4 linked regions of the Drosophila melanogaster genome follow. The protein of the gene in region 2 interacts with the protein of the main gene of each other region in a pairwise test. Each region holds a gene or a part of one and is shown on either strand. Other genes may lie near its edges.

Region 1 (7,241 bases), on a different chromosome or scaffold from region 2:
CATTACTTTTGTCAACTTCTGTAGTTCCTTTGGGTTCCGATTCCTTGGGAGTCGCTTCTCTTTTGGGAGAGAACCCCTTATGGGTTTCTTCCTTGGTAGTTTGCTCCTTGGGAGTAACATCTTTGACGGATTTTGACTTGAGTTCACTCTGCACCTTGGCCAGGAACTCTATTTTGGCCTGGGTTTTGCTTTTCTCGGGTTGCTTGACTTGTTCGCCTGTCTTCGGAAGTTCTCCATTCATTTTTGGTTCTTCACCTTTTACCTCTGAGATTTTAGTATCACTAGATTCATTAGAAGGCGATTTTGAAACATCCTCTCCAAGCTTCACCGCCAGTGGCTCAGAATATTCCTTACTTTCCATTGGCGGCTTGACATCCAAATAATCTTGGTCCTTTGGCAGCTTTCCATCTTGGTTTTCCAACTCTTTCGATTCTTGATTATCATTCTTTTCTTCTTTTTTACTGACTTCGATTACCTCTTTAAAATCCTTTTCACTAGTTTTTGTTTCTTTGCTTGCATTAAGTTTCTGCTTTCCATTTGTTTGAGCATCCCGTTCTGCTGAATCTTCCAAGAGCTCCCTAGCAAATGGTGTCTGTTCTCTTTGCACCTTAGTATCCTTGGAGGCATTTACCAGTTCCTCTCCAGCTTGCTCCTTTTCCTCCTCGGCCTCATCGAAGTAGCTGCGTCGCCGGACTTTCTTCACAAATCGAAAGGACACTGGAGCAGCTTGATCTCCAACTGGTGTCGACTGGGTCTGCTCCGCCGCAGATTCCGCCTCGCTCTCCGTGCTGTACTGCTTGAGCACTCCCTTCACCTCGCTGAGTGCACCGGAGATTCTTGCCTTGAGCTTGTTCAGCCGCTCGATCACATCCTCGGGCTTCTCCTCCACGGAGTCCTGCGAGCGGACGCGTCGCTGGCGCCGCAGACGTGTCCTTTCGGGTAGCACAGAATCCACATCGATGGAGGAGGTGCTGTCGCGGCTGATGGATGTGCGCTTTATATCGCCCAGCAACGGAGCATGCGTAGCGGGAGCACTAGGCTCCACATTGCGTATACTACGACTCGTGGCACCCAATCTAGTGACTGGCGACTCCGGACGCGGACTCCTGCTGGGCAGTGATGGACTGGGTGTCTTCAGCTCGTATTTCATCTCGCTGGGCTGCTGCTCTGTGGCGCTAGTATTGTTGTTGTCATCCGCCTGTTCCGTCGGCTGATCCAGTAGTTGCTCGGCGGGGTAAACCTCGACCACCGTATCTGTCTCCCGCTCCTCGCTGACTTTGCTCACGGTCATGTCCGCTCCGGCGGCCACCTCGCTCCAAAGGTTACCCGTCTCCGGATGGGCACAGATCACTTCGATGGCGTCGGTCAAAAGGTCGAGCAGCTCCCAGTCCCAATCCCAGTTCCTCTCGGTGAGGAAGGCGCGCACGGAGCTTTTCAGTAATTCTATATTTGGCCGACTTCGATTCGCGTTCGGATTTGGATTCGGATTCGGATTTGGGTTTCGCTCGCGGGTCAGTAGCCGACCGAGATCCACGTCCACTTGCTCTGGCGACGATTCGCGGGCGTCTGAGAGATCGCCGTACTGCTGGTGGTTGGTATTCCGATTCAGATTCTGATTTTGGTGCTGCTGCTGCTGCTGATGCTGTTGCCCATTCGCATCTATTGTCTGCTCCCTGGCCAAACATATTGACTGCTGCTCGCGATCTCTCATATTTGGCTCATTATGATCTTCGGCCTTCTCTAATTTGCTTTGCTCGCATATTTCGCGTTTATTTTTGGCCCCATCCATGGCGTCGTCGTTTTTGTGGTCGTGTCGCCGCTGGCCGAAGGCGTCATTAAGATTTTCCGCCTGTTGATGCTCGATTTCCCTTGCCACGTTCAAGTTTAATGCGAATGAGAGTGCTTCTGCCGCCGCCGTCTGCTCCTCGGCCTCGGGTTCATTATCAAACATCGGCGGCACCTTATGTACACCAGCTCCTCCTCCGCCTACATCTATTTCGTCTATTTTGTCTATTTCGGTGACTTTGTCGAGGCCCGGCTGCGTCATTGTTGTTGTGGCGGCGGTGGGTGGATGTGGATGTGGGTATTCGGGCTCATCTTCAGACATTGCTCGATAATTGGGAAAGCTAACAAATCGTTTTTTAATTATGGGAAATTCCTGGGACGCCTGCTCAGCGTGTGAGCTGGCCACCTGTCCGCGTCGGGTCATGGTGGTGCTCATTTCTGGGAAATGGCCGTCGGAATTCTTGCGGGGCAATTGCAGCAGTCTGGGAAAGTTCATCTGCCACGGGGCGTATACTTGATGTATGGGGAATCTTGCTGTGCACGGTGCGTATACATGATGTGGGCTGAATAGTTGAGTTTCATCTAAAATTGTGTGGTTCTCTGCTTCTTTCTGGTGCTTGAAGAAAAACAAGGGAAATCCTTGGTTGCTCCTTGATTTCAGATGCAAGGGAAACTTTCCTGTTTGCATTGTTTGGTAATATGTCTGGCAGACCTGCATGTTCCTGCTTCCACCCGCGTGATTCATGGGAAAGCTGCTCTGCCAAGCGATTCCTTGGCCAACCGGAAATTGCCCTGCCATTCCGAGCACTTCCGGCGCCGCCGCCTTTGACCAACAAAACACGGCTGACTCAGCTCCCTGATTTGCGATGCCATCAACAAGCCACTGCGAATTATGAATATTATTATTAGCTGCTGCCTGCGACATCAATGTCTGCTCCTCTGCTTCCCCCGATTCTGCCGGCCAATCCGCCTGCTGTGTCTTTGTCATCATCCTGCTGACCTATTGTCGTGGCCAACACGCGACCAAAGCGGGCTTATTCCTCCGATCACAATCGACTATGTATCACTCAACACGTTGCAAGCTAAACTGGCGCAATCCGTCGGCGGATGCACCGTGATCCGTCTATCTCAATTCGTTCCCAGTGGCTGCGCCTCGCTGGCAACCATCCGATCATTGATCAGTCTGCAATCTATGTAATTGCACATGAGTTGTGCGGCGTCAGGTGAGCATAAGGATCGAATTAACAATGCCCTGCAGATGGGTACTTATAGTGGTTGTTTTCAATTCACCAAAATAAAACTGTTCAAATCACTTGGTGCTATAAGATAAAAACAAGCCAGCTATTTGTTGTTCAAGAAAGTGTTTAGTATTTATAATTTATAATAATGTTCTCTCAGCTAACGTAAACATAATTTTATTATCTTCTCAGTGTTAAAATATGTGCTATTCGTTTATTAAAAAATTCCCTCCACTCAGCAAAATGTAGATAATACTAATCTGCTCGACTTATCTAAGCCAACTGAAATAACTGGACATGATTCCTATGTAGACTCATGGACCACATGGATGAATTAACTACAGGGCATATCAATGTTGATAGATCTTGTAAAACAATAGAAATCAAAGTTTGGTCAGGGGAGGTCGCGCGTGTTTCGGATGCTGGGCAGACCGAGGAGCGCTCTTGTATATGCACATCGGATAGGGTCTGCTATATAGCCGAAATATATATGTCAGCTTGCCAAATTGGTTTTTTGCGGGCCACAAAAAAAAAAAGAACGACAGGCAAAGAGACCGAATAAAAATCAGCTCGCGTCGCCCACCGACAATGCTATTGTTTAAATAGACCACAGAGCACGGCGCTATTTGGGTGACGTGGGGTAATACTGGGTGTCCATTCAGCAATTCTAATCCCATTCTGTTTCTTCCTCGCAGGCGCTGCGTGTCCTATCACGGACGACCGCCCAGCGCCTCGCCAGCGACGGGCAACAAGGTGCAGCACTACAACGAGTACAAGGCCCTGATCACAAGCATCTTCGGAGAGCTGACGCCGGAGAACAAGAAGCGAATCGAGGATCGGATCAAGAAGCAGCAGGCAAAGGCCAAGGCGGATGCGCAATCGAAACCCAGTACTAAGCCACCAGCCGCTCCACCAAAGGGCGGTTCGTCGCCGCCACCAGGTAAGGGCGAATCTGGAGGAAAAAAGAGATCCGATTCGTCTCCATCTGCGTCTATAGCTCCTACAGGTCCAGCACCCCGTAAGCCACTGATCAGTCTGCCAAGTAGACCTCCAAGGGGTGGAAAGCAGCGGTCCGGCTCGGCTCCAGCTCCTAATCTGGTTGATGAAGATTCAGCTGCTCGAAATAGGGAACCAGATGCTTCTGCATATGATGGCGCATCACCGTCAGCTTGGAAGAGATCGGGCTCTGCTCCAGCACCGAGTGTAGTTCCCAGGGCATCGGCCTCCCGCAGTCCGTCTAGAAAGTCACCTTCACCCTCTCACGACGGCATATCTCCTTCTACAAGACAAGAATCCTTAAGCAAAAAGAAATCAGGGTCGGCTCCAGCTCCGACGCCAACTTCTCGTGGACCATTCCGGACTGCGCCCTCCAATACAGAATTCATAAAGCGCAGACCTGCTAAAGATTACGGCAGTAGAAATGAAACCCAAAGCACTCCCGGGGAGTCGGAACTGGACCCAACAAAACCACAGCCCTAGTTTGAATCCTCCTTTGTAAGTCCACCAATAAAGATAGGTAATAGTTACAGAAAGAATATAAATATAAAACTTTACTTGTAATATCAACAACTTGTGGAGGCGACGCCTCCATTGTCTTTTGCTCAGTACTTCCAAAAGTTTGGATTCTGTTCCATGCGACGCTGGAAATTCGTATACCAATTTTGAACGACGGAGAAGGGCACAAAGGTCTCGCTCGAGATGGGCGGGATGTCTCTGGCTGCCACTCCGAAGCTGGAGGCGTAGTTGAAGAAGTTCTCCAGCATTCGCTGACCAAATTGCTTGTTGTCGTTGGCAGTGGACTGAAAATTGGAAATGGGGTTAGATTTGAATCGCAATTATTGCGCCAATCAAATCGGTTGGCAACTACTGATCTTCAGAACTTACCACGGCTGGCGTCTGTTGGGCCACCGTTAGCTCCGGTTCGAGGGAAACTCCAATCTGTGCGATGTGTGAGATCTCCTGGCTGCCGAAGACCATCCCGTGAGCCTGGGCCTCCAGCTCGTGACTCTTCTTCAGCTGGGCGATTTTGAAGATGGCGGAGGGCTTGGTGTTGTTTATGTGACCCAGATACTGCCATGTGGGTGCTGCGTTCGCGTCCGGCCAGCTGAAATATATCGCAGCGGAGGTGCCGACGGGCAGGGGTGATACGCCGGTGAGGAATACTACCAGGTAGTTGACGGATTCTATGTCGGGCACATTCACGAGCAACTTGGTGGCGTCCACGGCCACAAAATCCGATTGGGGCAGGCGTCCGGAGACTATCAGACCGAATAGCGACATTTTCGAGCGGTGGACTATTCCAGAATTCGATATGCCCGCTTTGTTGGGGGAGGAGATGTTATGGAGATGAGCAAAAAGGAACTACCTTATCGATGCTTTCTTTCCTAATGGTGTACAGCCCACTACGTTTCTAACAAAAAAATATATTGAAGTATATTGGAATTTGTTGCTTGCATATGTTCTGACAGTTGATGCATATTCCAAAATCCTAAAAAAAGATTTTTTTTTAAATTTTAAATGGAACTAGTTCAGGCGACTGCTACTTGGCTTGCCATTCACAGCGATACGGCAACTCCAAACAGCTGACGCTGCCATGCGAATGCTGATATCGTAGCAAAAACACAGGGACGGTGCGAAAGAAGAGGGATTTTATTTTGTTTTCGCCTGGCAATTGAGTAATGGCCGGACTCCTTCACCTGACCAAGCAGTGCAGCATCCACCTACCCGCCCACTTGGGACGCGCGAAATGCTACACACTCGCTAAGGGACCGGGAACACACGTGCAGGCAAGAGTGGTGAGTGCTCGGCCTCTAGACCCATTTCAAGGCCACCTGCCAGACTATCTAGACTAGATTACGGTTTCGTAATTACGCGTAAATACGCAATAAATTGGCGGTTTGATTGAGTGGGGACAGCCGGCGATCGGCGGGGAAAACAGTCTGCGTGTGCGTTGTTTTGGTCCTTCTCCACTTCCATCCGATCAATCTTGAATTAATGCTCCACGCTATGGCTTATTTCGTTGCAGCAAGCATAGAGTTAGACCAAAACAGCGCGCACGCACACAGACTTGGAGGATCGATCGGGTATTGGGGACAATGGGTCGCACGCAGCGTCGCCGGCATCAGAGGGCCAAGAAGTCTGACGAGAATTCGGGCTCCCTGCACGACCTCTACGTTCATCTACACTCCGTTGGCTGGCAGAACCACACTCACTTGTCGGCCCAATACTACGAACAGACAGGTCGAGGACTATGCTCTAAACAGAAGACCTTTTCTCCGGAGGATGAGCTCATTCGCCTGCCCATTGGCTGTCTCATAAGCATAGCGACTCTGGAATCTGATGGGCCATTCAAAAGTCTTTTCGACGAAGAGTTATTTGACAAGGACTCCAGAATTTCCTTTCAGGCACTGATAGCCTGTTATATTTTGTACCACAAGCACTTGCAGGAGTGTACGCTAGGGACTCACTCCTCTACTTACGCTGCATATTTGGACACCCTGCCCAGGTGCTACTCCACTCCGTATTTCTGCTCCATACCCGAGCTACAGTGTCTGCCAGAATCCCTGCTAGAGCGGACCGTGGCCCAGAACCGTCAGATAAGAGGTTACTTTGAAATTATTAAGAACATTGTACACAAATGCGATTGCTGTGGGAAGAGCTACGGCCAGGAGATTTGGACACTCGCAGACTTTAAGTGGGCCTACTTCAGCGTGAACACTAGGAGCGTCCACCTCAGTTCCCGCTTTCTGAAAAAGCAGAGCAACTACTTTCAGCCGCTTATCAGTGGCGACACCAACCTGGCATTGGCTCCGTTTCTGGATCTTTTTAACCACTCAGATCAAGTGGAAATCACAGCAGGGATTGAGGGTCCCGATTACGTTCTTACATTGAAATCTCTGCCATTTTCCGAGACCAAACCATATGATCAATTGTTCATCAGCTACGGTGCTTTGCCCAACTTTAAGCTATTGACGGAATATGGCTTTTGGCTAAGAGAAAATAAGCACGATTACTTTGAAGTCTCCCTACTGGACATTGAGCACATGATTAAGCAAAACAAGGAGCTATCAACGCAAACCTTTCACCGGAACATCTTTAAATTCATCAGGGAGCACAATCTGAACGATCAAATGTTCGTGCACATCGACGATGGATGCTCTCACAATCTAAGGGTTGTGCTGCACCTGATCTTCAAGCAGCAGGCCTACTTTCCCAACA
Region 2 (8,984 bases):
TAGACTGTTTATCGGAAATAGTTTATTAATATATTAAAAAAAAAAACAATCTACATTCTTGCCTGTTTTATCAATGCGTCGCCATTCTCGCAAAGAACGTATAATTGTGAAAGGGCCGAGGATATGTAAATTATGAACTTCACATAGTCTCCAATGAACATATTTTTTCCCTTATGAAGTTTAGAAAGAAAAGCTAGTCATTATATTAAAATATTTACTGCCAATGCTTACAGTAACTATTTGAAAGCCAACCATGCAAATAAGTACGGAGGAAATCATTAGATTGGCCAGTAGAATTGGGTTGAAAAAGTCCTCGAGGCGCTTAGCAAAACTATTGGCAAAATCAAAGTAACATGTAATGGAATCATTGTAATAGAGTCGTTGTAATAGAATCATTGTAATAGAATCGTTGTAATAGAATCGTTGTAATAAAATCATTGTAATAAAATCATTGTAATAAAATCGTTGTAATAGAATCATTGAAATGAATCATTGTAATAAAATCGTTGTAATAGAATCATTGTAATAGAATCGTTGTAATAGAATCATTGTAATGAATCATTGTAATAGAATCATTGTAATAAAATCGTTGTAAAAGAATCATTGAAATGAATCATTGTAATAAAATCGTTGTAATAGAATTATTGTAATAAAATCGTTGTAATAGAATTATTGTAATAGAATCATTGTAATAGAATCGTTGTAAAAGAATCATTGTAACAGTATCGTTGTAATAGAATCATTGTAATAGAATCATTGTAATAGTATCGTTGTGATAGAATATTTGTAATATAATCGTTGTAATAGAATCATTGTAATAGAATCATTGTAATAGGATCATTGTAATAGAATCATTGTAATTGAATATTGGCACGATACCAACCTGATAATATTGTTGTGTTTTTCCACAATACGTTTGAGTCGCTCCAGCTGAATGCTCTCGGCCAATTCCGCATTGGAACCCGCAAATAAACCTGCGATTCGTTGGTGTAGCAAATGAAATTGGCCACAAGTGTAGGTTATGAAGAAGCCAAGAATGGTGTCCTCTGCAAACAAGGTGGTGACCACACAGATTCCCGCGTAGGAGGTGAAGATGTAGGTCATCACATATCGGATCCAACTGCTCTGGGCATCGTACGGAAAGATCATCTTGTAGGGAAACGGCTTGTTCTGTGCATCGAAGGCGGGTCCAAAGAAGATCTCCACCAGCGGCAGGACACAATACATTATGATCAGGCACGCTAGCAAGGATGTCATTATGCTGAAGGTAACCATGCGTCTGCGACACTCGGCGGCAACATTGTTTTTGGAAGAACTGGAACCCATCATATATTTATATATGTAAATAAAGATTTTCTTACAAATACAGTTTGAAGATGGGTATAGTTACTCAAAAGTCTATATTATCTCAAAACCACTTTAAGTGTCCAAAAGCATGCTTAGAAAGCAAAGTTTGCTCTTTTGCACACAACAATGTAGCACACTTTTCTGCGCATTTACTCAAGTAAGATTGCAAACCTCTATAGTTTTCAATGCTCTGCAGTTTAATGCGATGATCATTTAACATCGCTTATAATAACCCTAATGAATCGACTCACTTAGGTATCCAAATTTCGTAGGAAAAGTTCTCAATAAGCTGGCGGAATTTCCTCTGATTGAGGCGAAGATGGATGAGTCGGACAAAGTTCAGGACACCCATAAAGGTGGTGCAACAATTTTCCGTGGTGATAATAATGTCCGAAAGGTTGTTCAGCAAAAAGGCCGTCTGATAGCTGATTGTTATGCCCACAGATGCAATGACGTACCACGCCCACACGATGTAGGCGGTGGCCAATAAGGATTGGCTCCTCCATGGCCTCGATGATTCGGTTAATGGCCAAGAACCATTCAGTTTCAGCCAAACGCACTGAATGGGAAAGCTAAGTGCTTTGTAGGGATACGAATAGAACATGACTATCTGATAAATGCCACAGCACTAGGTACATCTTAAGGCATTTCTTTCATTTATAGCTTACCAACTGCGCCCTAAAATTACCACTTTTTTAATCATTTACCCTAATTGCACAGTAAATATTTTAGAAAGCGTTTGCACACAAGGCATATACTTACCACCTCATTAAGTGCCGAATATGAAATTTTGATCAAACGCATTTTCCAAGGAGGTGTGTGCCTGTGAAATCCATTAAACTATACTACTTGTGTGTATTTTAATTTTGCTTTATTTTGAAGAACAAAGTGCGTTTTGCTCTCGAAAAATAAACAGGTAAACAGGTGCACATATTTCAATTTTGTTTTCAATTTAATATATTCAAATTAAAAAGCAAAACTAAAAGTATAAACATGCAACCTGCGCCTGAAATCCGTAACACTTTTAGATATATATATATTTTTTTTTCAATTTCTTATACATATTATTTCATTGTAATTTTCCATGATTTTCCATTTATGTATGTTGGCTAACAATGCGGTCTGTATTTATTTTTAGGCTTTCATTCGCCCAAACTTCATTTCGAAACCAGTTAATTTAAATCAGGTCACTGCTAGCTGGGCGTAAGAAGGATATAGCTTCATTCAATTAGACGACGGGGGCGTGGCCAATCTGTGGCGTGGAACAGTGTGGACCCAGTTCTCTGTCCATTGTTCTGGCCAAGATCTCGACGGCCAGATAGACAGGCAGCCAGACAGAGATACAGAGAGACAGACAGACACGGCTAGATGGAAACGTATGTAGAGGCGTAGGTGTATACTACACTTCCTTTTACAATTACGCACCTTTGCACGAATACAATATACCCTTTTGCTCCACATAACGGACATAAACAGACGTACCCGGATTGTAAGACTCGTTGGGGCCAAGGAGTGGATTTTTTTTTTACCGACTTTCGGCGAGAGAGCCAGCGGCTGAGTGCCGAACACCAACCAACATCCATCCGAGGACCAAAAGGATGTGGCCCACACAGCCCGAGAGAGCCAAGATGCTGAATTGTGACGTGACAATAGAAGCGGAGAGCGAGAGATGTGGCCACTCGGCTGGGCTTGGTTTGAGATATATTGGTATGGGATGGGATGGCCGGGATTGGGAATCTCCCAGTTGAGATTCCGGTGCTCTGCGACTGCGTCGTATTTGGCTGACTGAAGAATGGCTGGTCGACTGGGTTGGCTGCCTGGTTTGCCTCCGGTTGGAGGCAATCGTTTTTCGCCTGGCCAAAATCCTGCAGACGTGTTCGAGAGCTTTAGAACGTTGTTTGCAATTGCGGAAAGCGGTTAGCGAGGCACGAGACACGGCGATAGTTTTTAATAGAAGAAGCAGCAGCAGCAATAAAAAAATAAAATAAATTAATACAAAAAACACAAAAAACATACAAAAACCAAAAAAAAAAAAAAACAAACAAACAAACAAAACGAAATACGAAAGCAGCAGAAAAGAGTGCAGATGCAGGAAATAGCCGTATAGTTCGCAGCCAGCGGAGCAATAGTTTATTGAGGAATAATCCCCGAGTCGGCGCCCAAAAAGATCCAACAAATACCCCAGAAACACAACTGAACAACCAGCCCAGGCAAAAGTATATACATATATATATATATATATATATATATTAACAAAGAAATTCGTTTTCAAATCCCAACACACCGTGAACTTAGAATATATATATATACATACGCGTATATATATATGTATATATATATATATATGGAAAAAAGTAAAAGAAAAGAGGAAAAACGAAATGCCGAACGGGTGGGCAAAATGTGAAAACCCAACAAATAACTACTCAGAATCAAATGTTTGATATAGTAACGTAACGAAACGCAACGCAACGCAGCTCTAAAATCGGCTACTAAATCAGCACATTCAAATCAAATATGGAAAATACAAAAATAGAATAAATATATATATATGTCTATATATGTGCACATATATGCGTGTATATGTATATGCTGATGGCGTAAGGATGAAAAGATCATAAAATACATATTTTATGAAAATTTTTTGCATATTTTTTTTACTGTTTGGCCAAAATAACAAACTGAGTGTGTTCATAAAGCAGTACAATGTAAACTTAAAAGCAAACTTAAACGCAAAACGGATAACAAATAATTCATAACTACTCTCCAACTACTGTTTCAATGGATTCTGGTTTTGATTTTTTTCGAATTTCCCGAATTTCCATTGGTGAGTACCGCAATTACGTTTATGTATTTTATATCTATCAAAAATCGCTACACATCCCATGCATATATATATATATATATAGTATATTTCGGTATATGTACATGGCCTCAAGGATTCCAAACTCTGGCAGATGGAACTGAAATAGTTTGGCTAGCTGGATAGTTGGATTGCTTTATGGCCGTAATTATACGGGGGAGGGGAAAATGTATACTTGGTCCAAAACACACACCACATGCCCAACATACTTACTATTATTGCGAATATGGTCCAACTCCCGACTCTCGAGCGGAAATGAGGCGCGGCTGACTGCGCATGACCAATGAATAATAGCGATACAGAAATGCTTTTATCCCACACTTTGTATTCCAATGCATATCTGGATATCCTCTCTCCATCTCGACGTCTCACCGTCTCTCCATCTCGTCATCCCTTCTCTGTCCATGCCGCTCCATTGGCATGCGAAGGAATTTGGAATTTTTTTTTTTTTTTTTTTTTTGGCAAAAGGACTCTGGCAATTCGAAGTGTGTCAGGACATCATCGCCTTTTTCAGCGTCGCTTGCAATGGTGCGCTCCTCCACCAACGCCAACTGAAGACACATTTGTTCACAATTATTTGGGGGTCTGGGCATGCGTTGCCATTGACCCATCTAACCACCCGCAGTTGTGCACGGCAATTCAAATCTCAACGTGCCCCAGTGCTTTCGATTGTTTTTAAACAATTAAATCCACCGCATAATCCCATGCCAGCCAAACGAAACACGTAACCGGATTTGAGATGATGGCAAAGTGATTCCAGGATGATTCCCCCTGCTGAGTCCTTGAGTTTGTGAGTTCTCGTTTAATGGTTGGTTAACTCGTGAGAAATCTGCGCTGGCAGTAAAGTAAACAAGCAGCGGGCAATTTGTTTATCAATCAAAGAAATGGTGTCGGAATTCCGCATTCGCGAGTGTGACAACGCCCAAATGTTTGCTGATCCATAAAGGAGAAGAGCTCCGCGATTAGATCGCCCTACCTACCACCACGCATCCTTCGAAGCTCGAACTTCCCTATCGTTTGGTAGCACATTGACTCCAGATGGACTTATTGGGGGCACAAATCAAAACGCGGCAAAACAATGGGGCAAAGACACAGATTAGGTCAAATAACAATGCTGCTATACACACGAAGAAAAAGGAATGAACTTGTGAGGGAAACTAAAGATGAATGGTTTGAATACAATACAGTTTTCTTTGCATACATTTAACGGACTGAAAAAAATCTTTTAAAACTGGTTATGCTAGGGAAAACATTATTTTTTCATATCCTGTTAACAAACATTTGGTATTTGATTAGTTTCCGGAATCCTTGAATTTTTCTTCGAGTGGCAAACTTATGGCTCTGCACCAGATTAGAAGCCATGACCTACGATTTGATATAATCAATCAAGGCTTGACTTGTTGCCTGTTCAATAAATAGTCAGGATATTCAGAATTCACAACAGTTGAAATCATTTACAAAACGCGGCTTTGTATGAGTAAATCTTTTCTGCGTGTGTAAAACTACAAAATGCTGCCCAATGCTAGTGAGTCAGATACTGCCAAAAAAACTTGTCGGTATCATGGAGTGAGCCAACTTTTTGAGAAACATAATAATGAAAGTTTTGTCAAAACGAATAAATTGGGAAACACTATACGATGGAGCTTCAGCTTTCCGTGCTGTTGTTACTCCATTTGATCGGGAATAGTTTTAATCAAGTTTTAATTGGCAAAGTTGCACAATGAGTGCAATCATTAGTCAGCAGACAAAAAATTGTGTGGCTGGCAAGAGGAATAACTCATTTTATTGGCCCACAGATCCACATCCGCACACATGTCTGCAGTTCCCATCTTTGGAATGCCGTCTAGTCGGAGGCTGCGCATTCGGTCTTTGGAGAGCCAGCCAGCCAGCCAGTCAGCCAGCCAGCCGACGACCACGACTCTCGCGTCCTTAATTTTCATCCCTTTATTTATTTATTTTCCTGTCAGCTGCCGCTGTCTGGTGTGTCTGCCCAAGGTTTCTGTTTCGCATTCTGTTTCTGAATTTGAATCTGAATCTGAGACTGAATCTGAGACTGAATCTGAGACTGATTCTGAGTCCGTTTCGGCCGTGGACGCCCACGACAGCGAGGGAAATATGTGGCCATCCGGAGAATAGATTAACAGGATACACCAGTAGTTAGGGACCTCAGCTCATCTACTCATCTTCATCTTCATCGCCCCTTCATCATCATCATGGGGGCTCATCTCATCTTGGGGCTTTAAATTATGCGACTTGAGTTGTGTTTGTTGGTAAGATGTTGTCATATGTATGCGACCAGCCACTTGGCCTGGAGAAGTACTCATCAAGGTGCCCAAAAGTATGCCACAATGTATTTAAAATGTGCATTCTCAACTCTTCAAGTTCCTTATGCTTGGGAATTGCTTGGGTGGTGTGTTTCTGAAAAATGGTCCATATATTTGTAATATATCATCAGAGTTATTAAAGCACACGAAGAACTGTCTAAAAGTATGCTACAATTGTGCGCAATTATTATACTATACTATGTCTGTTGGTTTAAACTTAACTTATGAAGGTTTCTAAAACTTCTAAAAGTATAAATAGTTAAGTTAAAATATTTATATGTAAAGCATACCATTTTTTCTGCTACAAATATAAATTACCATGTTTATACAATACTTGCATATATTATTTATGCCATATTAGCTTAGCACTTTTGACCGGTTTTTAAACGAATGACATAAAATCATTTGCACTAATAATGTCATTGGCTGGTGAATAAACTTTGTTTGGATACAGCTTTCTATTGGTCGAAGTTGCTTGTTTATTACATTTTTAAAAGTATATAATTGGATTTAGCTGAAATTTCTTAGATAATTCAAACACTCTCGCTTGCCATACGCAAATTGTGATATGCATTCATCTTTTTAATGCAATTAAATGTTATGACAAAACTTTGAAAATAAGTTACTTCTCAGTTGTTGTTTTATAAATTGAAACCATTCTCGTTGTTATCCTTTTCGTTAGTCCTTTTACTCCTTGTAATTTTCCATGTGGGCCACTGTCGCCTCCTTTTGCGGCAATAAATTTACTCACTGCCTTTTCGCCGAAATGACCCAAATTTCAGGATGCCCTCCATATAAGGGAAAATTCAATAAATTATTGCTAAGCCTTTGGAAATTGTGCAGAACCTGTTGATTCTGCAGCCGCCGCAACTAAGCGCTTAATTAAATTTTAGTCGGAATTTTCACGTATATGTATACGCATTTGATATTTTGGAAACAGGCAAAGTCAAAAAAAAAAAAAAAAACTTATCATATATAATATTATTGCCAATAAGATACTATTTATATTACGTTTTATTGAAGTCGAGCACAATTTCAATATCCCTGGATTGCATAAGCTTATGTTTGAAACAAGTAATTTGAAACTGATTGCTTGCTGGGGCAAAAGAGAAATCACAGTAATTGCAGTAAAAGCAAACATTTAATTTGCACGAACGAACACTTAAACAAATTAGCTGACTACACTTAGAAAAACGTATGATACAAAACAAAAACATTACTCGAATATCATTTGAAGCTAAGTGTAAACTACATTTAAGAGAAATTGTCACAAATTATATATTTTTGAGAGCGATTCTAGCTTCGAGTTTCGCTCAGTGTATGCAATAACTGGCGTCAGCAGCGCAGCTTCCAATTTTCCCCTTTGATCCTATAAATTATGTTCGGTTCTGCTTTTTAGTCTCTGATTATCTTTCGGTGCATACGATTGCTGAATTCTGGACGGACGAGTGAATTTTCGGATAAATCCATCGGTGTGATTAAATAAACCATATAAGGTGCAACATCAGTTCTTTTTTTTCATGTGACTACTTCAAGAAGGTTAAGGCATCCAAAGCGGGCGAAGCCGATAAAAAAACAGTTGAGAAATATTCGAAATTAGTGTTGCTTTTTGGAATCTTGTTTGAATTTTTTTTAATTGATTCTTAATTCGATTGTTGCAACTACTCGGCGACATTCGAATCTGCATTACCATTAACAATCGCATTCGCAATCGTCTTTCTTACCTAATGAATATTAATTATTTAATAGGATTTTTCAGCTAATTGAATCTGCTTTCTACCATTTCTCTGTCACCGCTAAATGTCTGTCCTTGCCTAATTAGCGCAAATTAAAATTGTGGGCTGTGGCCTCGGAACGCTCTTCACTGTCCGGTGCCCAACATTCAGCATTTAGCATCCAACATTCCGCATTGAACATTCACATTCACACTCACATCCACATCCACATTCGCATTCGAATCCACACCCACATCAACACCCACATTCACATTCACCTTAGTGCCAACGTGGCTTCTCATTAGTTTCGCTTGGGCAATCCCCTAATGCACAGTTTCAAACAGATTTAACCTTAGCTCTATCTCAAAATCGTCGAAACTCTTTGATTCCTCAGTAGAAAGATATTTAGATACAGAATCCATAGATAGATCGAAAAAGTGATTGCTGCAGAGTGAAGCAAATCTAAAAAATGCATTAATCAAAAGATTCAAATTTTCATGATTTATAATACAAGTCAAGAGAGTCAAAAATGTGAAACTATGTGATTTAAATACAAGTATATAGATAATATTGCTAAAATTTGAAATCAGTGTTGTAAAATTCTTTAGTATGCAACAAAGCAAACGTTTTATCAACAAGGAGGAGACCGATATTTACAGTTAAAACATGGTGTTTTTAAACATCCTCTATATAAATACATTTTTAAGAACAATAACAAAATAAACTAAGTTGAAAATA
Region 3 (7,327 bases), on a different chromosome or scaffold from region 2:
ATAACGTTATTGCTTATTATTATTGCTCCCTATTGGACTTTAGGCATTCCATTTTATAATGTCACGAAGTCACCTTAAAGTGAGAAGTTACACACAAATAAATGTTCAAAATGATTCACACGTAAAAAAAGAATGAGAAACAGACTCGTAACTTATGAGTCATGAGTTAATTAAATTTATTAATTGATGATAGATTTGGCTATCGGAATAACCCAATTTGTTAGTTATCTCGTAAGCTTTTTATATTTCAACACCAAAACATAATCTCAGCCAGGTAAAAATAGAAAATAAATAAGTTACTTTAGATTTATAGTAGATCCTATTTAAAGATAACCCAATTCGAATCTGTGAAACGTTTGTGTAAGTAGGCTGACTTGTGGCTTAGTGGTATTTCGCCACATAATCGGGGCTTATCAACATTTAATCAATGACATAATATGTCATAAAAGTCTTAAGACATAAAACCCAAAAAGATTGTGTTTGATCGCAAAAAATAATTTATGGTCACGTCATAAAAATTACTTTAATAATGTCGCACATAGAGTAGAGAAGTCCGTGGGAATTATGGTTAAGCGCCGTCACTTTGCCCATTAAAGTGGCTTATAAAAGCACAAAGCCAATTGGGCAAAGATCAGCAATACGGAAGCGTGCAAACCGAATGCCGAATTGGGTTTATCGGTTGTGGTTGGAACCTCTTCGGTTGTCGAAGGTTCTGTGGTGGATTGTGTAGTTTCTGGTGAATTTGTTGTTGAACTTGTTGTTGAACTTTCTGGTGAACTTGATGATGATTCAGTTGTCATTGTTGAACTAGGCGTGGACTCCGTTGAAGAACTTGTAGATTCCGTCGGTTCCTGAGTGGTGGTTGGTGAATCATCTGCCCTTACAATTTGATCATTGCAGTGTGGTTGTTCCAAAGGATCGCACAAGTGGCAATTTGGATCAGCCAGGCATTTGACTTGATCTGAAAGAGTCAGGGAGCACCCCCTTTTCAAATCGTCTCCAACCAAACTGGCATAGCAAAAACTTCTGCCAGATCTAGCAATAGGACATTGTACAGCCGTTAGTAGCCCGGGAGATTCAGCACACTGTGCGTCCTGAAGAAGAAGAGTATAGAAAAAAAAATTAAGACTTTTTCTCCATTTTATAGTTACTAACTATTAGTTACCTCTGTATTGTTGCACTGAATACAGCTAGTCCTTTTGGCTGCGACGTTGTTGCATCTTTCGGTTACACATATCTCGCAATCGATTTCATTTCCTTTATCTTTATCCTCGCATTTTTCTCGCCAATCATCTTCGAGACTTTCCAGACATCCTTGGGCCTGAATTACGCCTGCCTTAAAAACACTAACGCAGGCATCCAACTTCTCTGAGCATTGTTCATCCGCATCATAGCTGCTCCTTTGGCAGTTTATATCCCGACAATAAATGCACTTTTCTGATGCCAAAACGTAGCTGCTGGTCAACACAAGTGCGACCAAGAGTTTAGAACAATTGAAGTTTGACATTGCGGAAGGAATATTTAGCATTGAAAGGCTCCCATTTGTTGGTCATCCCTTTATATAAATTCTGGTCTCTCAAGATGATGTTACTGATATTTTTTCCTAGATAGTTGACTGAAGTAATTAAGCTCGTTAAGTTGTTGTCCATCACTTCAAAAATTGCGTAAGCAATTCAGTTGTTTTTATGTGGCTCCTTCAAGTACGGGAATTCTTGTGGGGTAGTTTTAAAGTACATAGTTCCTTGGTCATAAGTAAACAAACAAGCTTACACTGGTAATGGAATTTTTTTTGCCATTAATCGGTTATTTTCCTAGATTAGACAACGAATTAGATCAAATTTCTTTCAGATAATTTGAAGTGAACCTTTTCAAGGTTGTTGTCATAGATTAACATCAGTGCTATCAATTAAGGTTTTGTGATTCATCATAGACTTGTCATCTTAATATATGTATACAAAAGTTATCATACCAATTTAACAAGCCAACTTATTTAAGACTTTCTTTCTAACAGATTTATTTGAAAACAAATGTATGCCAATTATTTTTGTTCATTAAATATAATCGCCCTAGTTTTATACTCTTTTGTTTGGCAAATATAACTGCATACATTAATTTGTTACGATTTATTATACTATTTAATATGAAATGCAGAATTTCCGACAATATATCTATTCTATCTATCCATTTCGCTTTTGAGAACAAAATAAAATCACTTTTAGTTCAATTTTTAGTTGTATATAATTTATAATCGCATTTTATTTATTTCTTGACCCATATACAAATATTTCATTATAAATATTATCTCAGGAATCGAATGAAGCGGTTCCCTAAATTTGAGCTCTCGACGATGTTGGCAGCATTGCAGTTCCTTATGTCGCCAGGTGAGCACAACAGGCAGTTGGCATCGTTCAGACAGCTCTGCTGATCGGTTTCGGTGGTGGAGCATCCACGCACAATGGATCCTCCCGAGGATTTCACATAGCAATACGAGTTTGGAGCCGTGGGGGCACTGCAACGGGCTGCTTCCAAAGCGGCGGCATTAGAAGCGCAATTGGAATCCTTGTGGGGAATTGAAATGTTAGAATTAAAATTGGTTTTCTATTTTAAAACTTTTTGCTTACCTTGCTGGAATCGCACTGAATGCACGCGTACTTCGCAGATCCCACATTGTTGCATTCTTTCGTGTTGCACTTGTGGCAAGAGCGATTGTCATTGCATTTGGAACGCAAGTCCTTCGGAATCTCGAGGGAGCAACCCTTGAACAAAACCTTGGCTGAAATATATAAAAACAGTGTTGTTTTTTTATTTGATACAAGAAATTATTTCCTCTCTTTGAACACACCTTCATCGTAGATGGTCACACAATAGTCCAGGGAATCCACACATGTCTGCGTTTTACTCAGTTGAACCCTTTGGCAATTAGCTCCTTCACAAGTGTGGCAACTGATTGCCGTGTTAGCGGCCACATGACCCACCATAACCACCAGCACCACAGCACTCAAAATCTTCGCCATTGTTTGGGCCTTCATTTTTTTGCTTCGACTGTCAGGCAATTGGCCATTGCGATCGGCTTTTATACCGCCGACCACTTCAAATGCCCCACTGAAGTGTCCTCGAGAGCGGTTGCTGTCAGTATGTGTGTTTGTGCGTGGAAATGGCCAAGCACTTGAACGGTTTCTATAAAGAACTGACAGCAGTCACATATATACAACTCCCGAATGGTATGGAGTTATCTCAGAAATATCAAATTAACTTTTTAGTGGATGTATAAATTTAGCAGCCATTGTATTATGCGGCCTTTTTGAAGTGACCTCTAAAAAAAAACTGTCTGTCAAAGAATTCCGTTGTGATTGAACTGTGGTAGTAATTCAGGGACCACCTGCTAGTTAATTGACGGAAAAAAATTGAACAATCCAAAAAGCCGATAAGATAGAAAAACAAAACATTCAGTAAGCAAGTGATTATTCGCTTTATTTACATATATTTATTTAAAATTTAATTCAGCAATTTAAGCGAGAGCAGGGCAAAGAAAGCCAACCCGTAGCTCAAGAGTTTTTTACTTTGCTCAGCTGAGGACTTGGGTCCCAATTCCAAATCGTAGTTGTTGCAGGCCACGGAGTCGCTGGAGTTTTCCGGCAGGCAGAGCGAGCATTTCGAGTCCTCCAAGCAGGCCTTCTGCTCCTTAACAGAAAGAGCACATCCTCTCTGGAGGCTGTCCTTCTGATCGCCGACTACCTTGACATAACAGTAGGAATTGGCGGAGGTGGGGAGGGCACATTGGGTGGCGGCCAAGGAGGCGGTGGCACCCTTGTTGCAATCAGCTGACTGGCCAGAAAATATAAGAAATATATGTATTACGTTTGCAACTTTGTCAAATTGGCTTACTTACATCAGAACCAATGCATTGAATGCATTTGAAATCCCTGCGTCCTACATTATTGCACAGCTGTCCACTGCACTTTTGACATTGATCGTCCTTGGCCGCACATTTCGCTTGACCAGCCAAAGAGATTTGAGAAAAGCAACCGCGCTCACTAACAGCAACTAAAACGGAAATTTTGTTGCATTTAAAAATGCAATATCCTTCGAAGCTTAGACTTACAATCCTCATAAATGGTGACGCAAACGTCCAGTCTATCAGAACAGCTAACGGTGGCGTTTTGACGAGTGGTTCTCGAACAATTTATGCCTTCACAGCTGTAACATTTTGGCGATTCAGCTGAATTGCGCACCTCCCTAGAAATTTCTCCTGAGATTTCCCGTGAAGCCAGGAATAAAGCCAGTAGTATAACAAATTTGCCCGATTGCAACATTTTTGAAGAGCTTCCAACACCGTTGAACGACCAAAACGAACTAAAACTAAGCTGCAGCTAATTTGAAAAAATCGAAAAATTCACAATTGTTTTGCGGCACTTGAGAAAATTCACATTAATCAGTCAGCAGACTGATAAAGATATTACAATGCAGTACTTGTTGTGCTAAGCAATTTCAAGATGTTTTCCTATAGATTAGTAGTAGTAGTATATCACCTCATATACGATTTGTTTGCTCGGCCATTCAAAAATCTTATCTGCCTTATGTCGGACAAATAAGTGAAATGTAAAATAAAGTGTTTAAATTTTATTGCATTGACTCACGCGGGGGATTCTATTCTTTTAATTAGCAATTATTTATTAGCATTAATTCTGATTTGTGTTTGTATTATTTTGCTTGCTTCTTATCGAAAACTTTTATGAATTCTTAAAAAAGTCTTCAAATGGCCCATCGCCGGTCAATTTCTTATTTATGCGACCTACGGTTATCTAGAACTTATCGGTTCGGATCGGTGTGAGTTATGACAGTAAATTTTTATGACACACAAGCTTATAATCTTAGTTGGCAAAAGAGATACGACCGACATTTCTGCCTTTAATTGAATGGTATCATTTGACTTTGACTTCCTCAGCTCAATTTTTGTTTATGGCCTAATAATTCTAGTAGTTATAATGAAGTTAAATCTAGCAATTAAACTTAATAATACTGATGCCTTAAATAGTCGAGTTTTTCCATACAACTTTAATGCTGAGGTCAAACTTTGTTGGCCAGGCAAATTAAAGCACAGCTGTACTTATTTGCATACACTTATAACAGATTTTCCCTTACAACCAACACGAGGGGATTACGTTACATAATCCAAAGAACAGAGAGGGCGGGAAAGCCCCGAAATGGAAAATGAAACGAAAATAATACAAACATAACAAAGAAATATGCAAAGCAGATGAATTGGGGATAAAAATGCGTGAGGGAAAATAAAAATGTAGCAAAACGAGAAAACTGAAAGCGTTAAGGAAAAATTGAGGGCTTACCGGGTCGAGTAAAAAGTTTTTAGCCATGGTAATAGGAAAACCCGAAAGATAGAAAGAAGAAAATGAGAATAGGTCAATATTTTCAGAAGTAAGAGAGTCATCCGAAAAGTAAATGGAAAAGAAAAATATTACAATTTGTGGGCAAATCATATCTTATAGCTAATGTCCTTTTAAGCAACTGCTTAGTAAGTAGAACTGTTTAAGGATATTGCGGTAAAGGTTGTACTGTAAGTATAGAAATTACTAAGTAGGTCTACCCTCATGGAACCTTATGTTTTTCGGGAATGGTGGGAAACAGTCCTTTGGGGCCACCATCTATGACTTCATTCTCCCGCTCCAAGCACTTGACCCGCTCCACCCGCGCCATGCTGAGGTATTCCTTGCCCCCACTGACCACAAAATGGAACTCGTCGAGTCCTGCACAGGCGGCGGCATAGATGCCACGTCGATTGACCACCACCACGGCTCCATTGAATTCCGTATTGTGCCTCAGCAGGCGTTGCACCACCAACTCGGCTGCCTTGTCTGGTTCCTTTCCCGCTCGCATTGCTTCGACGGCCAGGAAGGCGGGCAGGTGGCGCATCAGGACATCACCATCGCCACTGGCCACCGCACCGCCCACTTCATTATCCGCATAAATCCCAGCACCAGGCACCGCCGAATCACCCACTCGACCGGGAATCCGGAATTGGGCGCCACTCGATTGGCTGGCCACATGGAATTTACCCTCCGCATCCAGGGCCAAGAAGGCCAGCTGATCGTGTTGACCCTGTATGATGGCATATTCCTGGTGCATCGGATGCTGATGCATGTGCTCGGGTAGGGGTGAATATGGCCCACAGTTTTCCGCCGGCGAAGGATGTACATCTCGCCAGAAATTCGGCTGACAGCCGTTTGACCTCCACTTTTTCAAGACATTTCTCGTTCTCGCATCCGTGAGGTACTCCTCTTTGTAACCCAAAGATCTGGCAAATTTCGTTGCACTTTTCCCGACCAGTACGGAATGTTTTGTGTATTTCAGAACTGCATCGGCTACTAGAATGGCATTCCGAACTCCATTCATCCCGGCCACTGCACCGTACTCCAAGCTTTCCCCATCCATAATGGCAGCCTCCAGGGTGAGTGCTCCCTCCGTATCTGGAGAGGATCTTCCGGTCAGCAGGCGTCCACATCGCTGATTCTGGCAGGCCATGCATCCCTGAATCACCGCCTGACGAGTCCTTCGAGGTCCTTGTTGCAACACACTCCATGCCTGCAAATTGGCATCCGTATAGTTCCACGTACTTATCAAGAGTGATTGAATCTCTGTCTTCTTGGTGCCGAACAATTTGATCCTTCTCTCTCGCAATTTTCGATTCGTGAAGTATTTGAGGGATTTTTTCGGTACGCTGCCGATTGTTGTGAACAGAAGGAGGAGGATCAGCAGTCGAAGGCAACAGCTTTGCGCCAACATACTCCAAGCAGAACTCAATCATGACTGAATGCCTGAACACATGTTACCCTAAAAAACTGACTACTAGTCAGTGGAAGATATGACTCAAAGCACTTTCACTGTCTCAAAGGTCTTAACCATAACTTAACGCTAGCAGCTGAATATTATTAAGCCTGAAAACTTCTTAGATCTTAAAACTGTTGTTCGGAAAAAAAGGTGACAACCTGTACCATGGATATTTACACAAAAACAGACCTTTATTTCCACAGTTTAGGCTTTAATGTACCACACAAAAAATAAATATTTAAAAGATGCAGGATTCGGCTGAGGAGTACATTTGAGCTGGCTCCATATTTAATTTATTCGAACCAATATATGGAACCACAAATTGCAAATCACAACAAAAGACATTTACAGAAAGGCAGTCGTAAAATCTATGAATTAGCAAAGAGAGGATTTTACACCTCACCGTAGACATTGCAAACCAGCATAGCTCAGATATATTTGATTTATTTACGACAAACAATTTGCAAGTATTTATCCTATTCAT
Region 4 (9,017 bases), 1.0 Mb from region 2:
GCAAAACAGCCTCTTGATCTCTGGCTCAATGCGCAGGTTCTCCGTGTTCGTAGGCCCTTGGCTCCAACAATGCTCGTGGTGATTACACCCACACTCCGAACAGTTTGTCCCAAGATAGCCCACACAGTTGAAATAGTATTGGATTGGATTGGATTTGATTGATGAATGGGGAATGAGTGGGGGAGGATGAAGGGTTACGATTAGAGCGACCTTGTGTGGATAGGTGTCTGTGGTGGCTGTTCAATCAGGACTCTAGTTTAACCGTGGCTTAGGTAGGTGTTCACCTAACGTTGGCAAGTCATTTCTGGAACTTAACAATTGTGCTGTACTCACGAGTAATCACATTGGTATCTGAAAGGAAATTAATTTGTTAAAGTTAGTAACATATTAGAATCTTAATTGCATCAAGGACTATAAACAGGTTTCATAAAGTGCATGGACCTTGTCTTATTATCCTTATTTATCTAGTTGAGTAATTAAAGTCTAAATTTATGTTTGAAAACAAATATATATATTTAAAAATATTGTCCGATACTTTTAGAAAATTATAACTTTGCTGATTGGCTAAAAAAACTGTTTTTCAGTTGGCCCACAATCTTTTAGTTAAATGCGATTAAAGACGGCTCGAAGACATTAGAATTACTGGTTATAAATAAACATGCTGACTCATGGGTTAGCAAACTGTCATCTTCTGGCTTTATTGCTTTTCAATGCCGTGAGTAATGCAATAGCGATGGAGTATCGTTAAAATGATTAGAACAGGTCGGACCACACCGCATGTGGATAATGAACGTGATAATGATCATGATCGCGGCTATATTATTGGGCCTGGGCGACCGCAAAAGAGAACCACAGTCGCAGACAAGAGAAACCTTCGGGCTAAACGAGTTTTCGCAACCAGAGAAACCAAATAAAATCAAAATCAAATTCAAATTCAAATGCAAATACAAATACAAAAGCCAGCAATTTACAACAAATGCAGTTCAAGGTCGCCACAAACGATGTGAAAACTCTGCAGCGCAGAATCGAAAAAAAAAATACAATACTAAAAAGAGAGCGATAAGCTTACAATATAATCTATTATCAACGCATCTAACGTAGGGCTATCAGTGAAAAATGAAATATTTGTATGCATATGTACATACATATCTACTGCCTGCAATGCACATACAATAAAGACAAATTGAAAGTAACTAGCAGAGTACCTCCTGTACACTTTAAAGTTCCTTTAAATAATCTTCACGCTGCATTTTGCTATATCTCCAGGTAACATGGCTGCCTATATAAAAATGCATTTAAAACTGCGTGTGCGTCAGTTTACTGAGGCGTAATAGACTGGAACAAAGAAGGCGCCTGGAGCGGAAAATAAAAGAAAGAAATCGAAATCGAATCGAACTGAACTGAACTGAAATGCACTATACAGAAATGCCTCTATACTATGCCAGGAGGAAGAACGCCAGAGAAGAGGCCACCTCATCGGTTCCTGAATCACAGTGGATTATTCAGGAGCGGTACACTCAATTCTACAGGCACGATCACAAAAAGAGATCAAATGTGTGTAACAATATGATATAAAGATCACTTTTTAAACAATAATTACAAAAGTAAATACAATGTTTCCTAAAGTTTTTAGCAAAAGTACTCAATTAAACTCTCAACAAGACGTCATCAAAAGGTGACTGAATCGAAAATATATGCATAATTTAAACGATATTAAACTTGACTGCAAACATCATACGTAATTACAGCTTCCAATGAATTGTGCATATTTTTCGAACCAATAAATCTTGGTCATTCGCCCTTAGCATGGAAATTAATTATGGCACCCACTGTTGTACTGAAAATTTCTCGATGAAAAGAGGAAACAAAATTTAAAGGCTCAAATGCGGCAACACGATCGTTACAAAGAGCATTTCTGATTTCTGCAAGGGTAGGTGGTGGGCGATCGAGGGCATATAAATCTTGATAAATACGGACAACCACACCCACACCTTTTGTAAAATATTATATATATTTATGCCCAAAAATGTGTCAGCTGTTTGCTCCTTTTGCACAATGAAACGAGAGCGAAAGCGGAAAAAGAAACAAGACATCTGTGTGCGCCTAGAATGAGGTGGATATCCAACAAAGATAAGAAAGAAAGACTAAATTCGCAGAATGTGCAAGCGATTTGTACAAAAATTTTGTGTAATAATACATGAGTTTCCCAAGTTTGAATCATTTCTATTGAGACACACGACACGAGGCAAATGTCTTCGCACTTTGAGACCAGAATAGCCTCTATAAGGCGAACCAGCCAGAGATATGTATAAACGCTGAAAATCGACAAAAACTGGACACGTCAGGCGGTCGAGAAGACCTCCGCGGATGTGCACCTGGACCAGATAAACGCAGGTTGAATAAACTGCCTCCAAATACATATTTCTGTATATTTAATATTTAACTCTCTGGCTTATCAGTCCGGCAAGCAGCGAAGTCTGGCGATGCGATTCGTCTCCGTTCTCTGCGAAATCCGGCTGTCCACCTCATCTGTATCTGTGGCATTCGTCATTGTGCATCGGGATTCGAGTATAGTAGTCTACGTACAATTAGACAGCAGGCAAATATCAGCGGAACGGATATATGTATGTACAGGGGGTATGGTATGGTATGGTATATGCCCATGGAAACATAACAACATTGGTACCCATGCCCTCCATATGCTTAGCAGCTGATAAGGAACGATAAGAGCCATGAGATGGGGTAAAAACCCGATTAGCAAAAGCGGAAAGCAAACATTGTTTGAGTAATTGGCAAAAATATTCGCTATGACAAGAACGGATTACTCAATGAAGCCGGGAAATGAGGAGGGTTCTTGAAGGAGCTACACTGGAAATGATTTCCATTACCTACTATTTGTTTTACAAATTGGTCATAATATCAATATATTTTTGTATTGTATATTTCCATCCTTGGCATACAAACAAATAGTTTCTCGCGTGGAAAATTGCAACTCCTCTCGTTTTATTTCTCAATTTCCTATTAAATCAATATTTTATTAACAGAAAGTCGTCGACAAATTTGAGAGGCTTCAAGTGCTTTCCTAGGAATCTAGATTCTCCCAATTTGTTTGTTTCAATAGTCGCACATTTGCCCCTCCAGCTTCGGATAATGTTCACTTCTGGTGGAATTAGGTGCAAAACGAGTTTGTTTACTTAATTCATTTGTTGCCAGGCCGGGCTTGAGCCATTGTTGGATCAACTTGCAAACACTGGGCCAAAATGAGTGCAGGTAATTTAAAATTGCCACAAAAAATGTCATTCATTTTGAACTTGAATATGAAAATATTTGCTTATGCTAGTATTTAGAGATCTTCTATCTTCTCTGATAGGAATTGAAACATTCGATTGCCCATTTGAAAAAGAGCCTGAATTAATTTTTGTGTTAATTCAATCAGAAGATTTCTCACAGTGTACGATGAGAGTGCATAAAAGGCGAGACAGGTAGAAAACCGAGAAGGTGGCGATTTTCGAGCTGGCAAACTTGAAACTTGGCTGGCCAATTGAAAGGAAAACTTGGCGCAGCAAGGCACGGCGCCGAGGAAAAACAAATTCGCGGAAATGTGAAATAGACGAAACGTGAGAACAGCAACAAAGTCAACAAAAGCGTGCAATTGCTCAATGGCAATAAACAAAAGACGAAAGCAGAACAAAAATAGTACTAAAACACACGGCGAATAATGATAATTCAAGAGCGAGAGTTTTTAATGGGATTCGGCCAACTTTTGACGCCCCATCGATTTGGCATTGTGGTAGTTACCATTATTTGTTTACCATTATTTTTAATCGAAAAAGTGGTGTATCCTATTTGAAAACTTTTTTTTTGAAATTAACCTTTCTTGGAATTGAAAACAATCCGATTGCACTCTTTTCTATTGGATTGATCAATGCCTATATATGTATCATTAATATCTCTATACAGGGTCTGCCTGCGTAATTTTGAGTTCTGATGTATGGGGTCATACCAGAAACTAGCTGTTTCCCGAGCGCAATAAAACTAGTTATTAGATCTTTTAGCCCTTCCCGCAGATTCCTACGATCAAGGATTGTGACTATGACTATGCGATGACTGTGCATCTCGACTCACCTTTAACTGTAGCGCTAGTCTGGTAATCAAAATACTTGGGAGACTCGCGCTTTAAGAACTCGATGATATCGGAGCGGTCTAGTGTGCCCGCCTGGCGCTTGAGGCGCCACTCCTTGAGCGGCGAACTGCACTCGGCAGGGGGCGCCACAACGACGTCCTCCATGTCGTAGCGATCCATCGTTGCTCTCGCTTGCACTCGCACTGTCTCCTCTCTTTTTCTCTTTCCTGGTGAGGATGAGAAAAACAAAATAATTGCAGCGGGGCTGTGTATGTTCGTGTGTGCGATGGGGACGTCTCGCTCTCTATCTTTCTTCCTTTCTCTATCGTCCGTGTGTCCTTGCTATTCCTGCGACAGTAGTTGTTGTTGCTGATGTTGTTGTTGCATTGGTTGTCACATGTGTTTTTTGCGAAAAGCAAAAAAAACGGGATTAGGTTAGGATGCGGGACAACAAAAATGTTCGATTGCGCTCTCGCTCTCATGTCGTAGAAGAATTTTCGATTCTTGTTTTGGAGCACAGACACTTACTTGTTAATAAAGAAATTATATTTTTACAACAGTGTCGAAATTTACAAAAGCTGACAATTCAATCGAGGAAAAATTTGTGTACGAATGGCGAGGAAACACTTAGTGTGCAGCTGTTGCTTTGCACTTTTTCCTTTGTATCAGCCAGTTGTGATTTTTTTTATTTCATTTTTGACAGCAAGCAAAAGCAAAAAAAAAAGAGAGACGGAGCGCATGGCAAAACGCGAGAAACAGTAACTTCAAACACACGCACACACATGCACGGCCACGGGCACTATTTTTGGTTTTATTATATTTTTATAATAATCGTTTATTATCTACAATTTTCCTTTTGGTTGCCTTTACGTGCGCTTAGCACCTTAAAAAAATAGCTTCTCTTTTTCTTTATTTTTCACTTTCTGACAATCACACACACGAACACGCACACCAACTTAAATTCACTCTACTGCGTTTCGCTTTCGTTTTCTTATTTTCCCAAACTTTTGCACGTACCTATTTCTTTTTTTGTTTGGCTCGTGGTGTATTCACGAGCAATTTAGACCTGTGTTGTTAGTTAAATCTACTTATTTCAACTGGCACAACGAAGATTCGTCTGCCAATTTCGTAACCTAAACGCAAAAAAACAAGACTGTCATCGATATAAGCAGGCGTTTTATGTCTGCGTCTATCGGGCAATACGGTACGTCGATATCTGGTCGTGCTAACATCGATAGCATGCGAGCGGTAATAGTGAGTGCACACTACGAAGTTGCTCATCAATCGCTATCGATAAGAAATCCATTTTCCGCCATTCAGTTATGTATATGGTAATTGAAATTGTTTTCCATTTGTCAAAATAAAACTAAAGATGATTTCAAATTGTTTGCCTAATGTACACGCTGTATTTACGTTTAGACACTAATTGCAATAAGCAATAGTACATTTTAGGTAAATGTTGTAGTGAAAAAAACCAAATATATCTAAAAGGGATACAATCAATTAAAGACCCAGATTAATTTAAAAGCCCCGAATGCAAAAAACAACAAAATATCAAAACCAGATTTTTCTATTTAATCTTACATACACACAAAAATGTCTTTATTGTTTCGCTTTTTTGGTTTTTTAGTTGCTTTGGATCGCTTTGTTGGTATACTTGTGTCTGTTTGTTGGAAATACATAGTTTTGTTCGTTTTTTCGCTATATCTATTTGGATTCGGTTCGATTTCGGCTTTGAATACTTTATGCTGAGATGTTGTTTTGAAACCAAATCACTTCGTTCAATACTGTCCAGTTTTGGTCTTTTTTGTGTTAGATGGTGTGGTTTCTGTGCTCAACTAAATAATCAGGCATGCTCCGGTAGTCGTAATTTTGTTTCGATTTCGATTTGGGAAAAATCTTTCGATTTCGTTATTAGGTGCTCCGGTTTTGTAAATAGCATTATTTACAAACAACACTTTTGGCCATCCTCTAGATAAGTTATTGAATTCTTTGATATTGTATCTGCCTGTTTCGTTTCACCAACAATATGGAATTCTTCCCAAAAACACTTGTCGATGTACCTATAACTCCTTGCCAAATCGAAACTTTTTGTTGCCGAAGGCAAAATTCTGTTTGACCAATGTTGAGGTGTGGTCAGAAATAAAATTTTTATAAAATAACTAAGTGGCAAAATGATCTTGTGGTGATGTGAAATAAACATCAATAGACCACTGAGTAAACTATTATTTGCCCTTTTGAAAATAAGATCTGATTTGCTAAAAAAAAAAGGCATTTACTTTTCATTTCGGATAGACAAAAGTGTCCGTTTTACAAATCGAAAACTTTCTTACGATTTCGAAAACCGGAGCACAGATTTTTCAAAATAGTTAAATTTGTACGAATTTGATTACCGGAGCATGCCGGAATATGTGGGTTTTCCATCGTTTCCTTTGTACTTTAGGGAAATGAGTTGTATGTTGCAGTTTGTATTTGTTGTTAGCTTTGCGTTTACATTATTTGGTTCCACGTAGTTAATGGCTTTTTGTCGCTTTGGTAGCTTGGAATACATTAAATTCTGCCTTAGCACAATTACATATATAGTTTTCCTTTAGTTTATTATAGAATTGTTGTTTTAAACATTTATAAATATGCATTTATCGTTTAGTTAAGTTTAACATTCATATTTATTCTCGGGTCTGTTTTTGGGCATTCTCTTCATTTGGTTTAGTTAACTTGGGTTTCAAGTGGCTGCGACCCCCCATCGTGTACAACATTTAAAGCTTGACTATATTGTTTTATTTGGATTTCTTAGTTTTAGTTGGATTCCGGAAGTCGGGGGCCTCTCGTCGGTCCCACTACAATAAAATTTCAATTTCAATTTCGATTTCGCTTATTGACGCAACATTTAACACCTAGGCTTTTGACAAGTAAATTCCATTTCAAATATGGAATTCGCAACTTCCTCCTTCCGTTTAATGTTAATGGTAAAAAAATCTAAAAAAAATTGTTTCGCCACTTGTTTTTTTTTCTTGGTTTAGTTCTCGCTAAAGCACACCAATTCCCCCCACATATGTACATATATACATATGTATAAAACATATGTGTCCTGATCCAATGCGATCGATATACATAGGGGGCTTTGCAAGCCTGGGACTTGTCTTTAGTGTGGCACAATCTACGCTCCATCCACTCTCCATATATATATTTAGATTAAAAATTAGATCTGTTTTGGATGCTAGACAGCTGGAAATACCCTGTATCCACAGCATTGAACGTCGAATGAATATGAAGATTAAAGCTTTTGCACACCGAAAGTCGGGAGAGAAGAATCGCATTCGCGATCACGATCGGGATCGGGATGAGTATCAATGGAGTACAGGGTATTTTATAGTCGCCTACTCTCGACTATCACAAACATTCAATGGGGCATTAAGCTTTCAATTCTCCTCTCCAAATTTTTCATGACTACTCACAAACACTTGTTGGCTATTTAAAAGATATTTCCACCATCTTTCATTTGGACTGATTTGTGCAATTGTTTCAATAAGTTTCGAATTCGATTAGCGCGCTCAATTTCGCTTTCACATCTCATTTAAAATTTAATCGTTAATATATACAAAAAAAATAACGTTCAGTCAATTATAACTATATGTTTATACACATCGAAACGAACACGTAAAGAAACAACAATGAGGTCTAAACGAATTACATGCACCATGACACACACATATCGCGCTGCATTCGCCATGCGCCATTAGCAATTAGGTAAATGTAAATCCCCTACATTTGTATCCTTACGTCAAGGACATCGACATCTCGCCGGCATGTTACACCATCGTCACCCCTCTCGCTCCGTCAGTTTGGTTAATTATTTAATACACATATGTTAATAATCAGTCGCATAAATGAATCACCTTGCTTTGGTTTTGTTTCTAATTACTCTGTTTTCTCGATTCGCATTCACACTCGATTCTCGCCGGCGAAATCATATAAACCGAAATATACAGAAACATATATAGTCGAGTTGCCCGACTTTGGTGACTAGTTCTCCACATTTAATGGCTCGTGTCTGAATTAAGTTTTTCGAGTTTATTCTAGGGAAAAAACACGATCTACAAGTTCGAGCTTTTAAAAAAAAAACTATTTCATTAAATGTTCCACCTAAACTAAATAATATTATAAGCATAATAATAATGTTAATAATTTATATCTATACAAAATATTTTGATCCTAGCTCGTATTATAAAAATGACAAATCATTTCCCTAATAATAAACATTTTAAAATGAAATCAATGCCATTTGGATTACAATAAATTTCAAAAGTGCCAAAACATTTTCTCCCAAATCAAAATCTAGCCTACTTTGCCAATAAATTGTACCCATTAATGCCTTTGGAGAATCCACACTTTCACACTAAATGACCTTTCCTCGTTTTCACATTCGTTACAAATTTGCGGAACCTAAGTTTACACGTGAAAATTTATCAAAATTAAATTAATTAGGTTTAACTTTGAGAAGACCTGCAATTGGATACGTTATCCTCATTTTCACTTTCGTCAGCAATCAGCGGGCTTGAATTAAAGACTTTAGACTTCGGTATAAGTTAACAATTAATAAATCTAAATATATATATTTAATACTATATATATTTATATCGATTTTGTAGAATTCGTTAAACAAGTGATAGAGAAATTGCAGGCTTACAAAATAATAATAAATAATTAAAATACACCTGATGCACTTAAAGTTTGCTTCGTAGTAGGAAAAGCATATAAATGTAAGTAAGTATGTAAATATGTAACATAAGTAAGCATGCGAATGTACATATAACGTATAAGTGTTTGTAAGCGCTAAACAATGATTAACTGTGCTTATCGCAGCCAACTTCAAGTAGGAAATGTAAAAACAAAT

Evidence for each region.
Region 1: the proteins of mmd (region 2) and CG13926 interact in a two-hybrid assay, tested with the Drosophila melanogaster proteins (one large-scale study listed by BioGRID).
Region 3: the proteins of mmd (region 2) and CG4363 interact in a two-hybrid assay, tested with the Drosophila melanogaster proteins (one large-scale study listed by BioGRID).
Region 4: the proteins of mmd (region 2) and Ubr1 interact in a two-hybrid assay, tested with the Drosophila melanogaster proteins (one large-scale study listed by BioGRID).

What each region holds. Positions count from the first base shown.
Region 1 is NT_037436.4:1,612,800-1,620,040, forward strand, and holds CG13926 (uncharacterized protein), read right to left. Parts: upstream 5,360-7,241; 5' UTR 5,304-5,359; coding exon 4,908-5,303; exon of another isoform or gene 4,823-4,907; coding exon 4,625-4,822; 3' UTR 4,549-4,624; downstream 1-4,548. Other genes in the region: CG33791 (uncharacterized protein), read left to right, coding at 3,719-4,502; CG12105 (uncharacterized protein), read right to left, coding at 1-2,776; ABCB7 (ATP binding cassette subfamily B member 7), read left to right, coding at 5,702-5,818; CG33230 (uncharacterized protein), read left to right, coding at 6,119-7,241.
Region 2 is NC_004354.4:15,967,392-15,976,375, reverse strand, and holds the start of mmd (mind-meld), read left to right. Parts: upstream 1-3,308; 5' UTR 3,309-4,171; intron 4,172-8,984. Other genes in the region: Or13a (odorant receptor 13a), read right to left, coding at 1-4, 63-170, 232-331, 884-1,315, 1,599-1,951.
Region 3 is NT_033778.4:21,832,001-21,839,327, forward strand, and holds CG4363 (uncharacterized protein), read right to left. Parts: upstream 3,048-7,327; 5' UTR 3,030-3,047; coding exon 2,843-3,029; intron 2,774-2,842; coding exon 2,622-2,773; intron 2,560-2,621; coding exon 2,299-2,559; 3' UTR 2,230-2,298; downstream 1-2,229. Other genes in the region: CG34040 (uncharacterized protein), read right to left, coding at 591-1,094, 1,166-1,507; CG4377 (uncharacterized protein), read right to left, coding at 3,496-3,825, 3,890-4,044, 4,103-4,313; CG4372 (uncharacterized protein), read right to left, coding at 5,605-6,798.
Region 4 is NC_004354.4:16,963,370-16,972,386, forward strand, and holds the start of Ubr1 (Ubr1 ubiquitin ligase), read right to left. Parts: upstream 5,311-9,017; 5' UTR 5,141-5,310; intron 4,493-5,140; 5' UTR 4,304-4,492; coding exon 4,126-4,303; intron 352-4,125; coding exon 334-351; intron 1-333. UniProt on the Drosophila melanogaster protein: E3 ubiquitin-protein ligase which is a component of the N-end rule pathway. Recognizes and binds to proteins bearing specific N-terminal residues that are destabilizing according to the N-end rule, leading to their ubiquitination and subsequent degradation.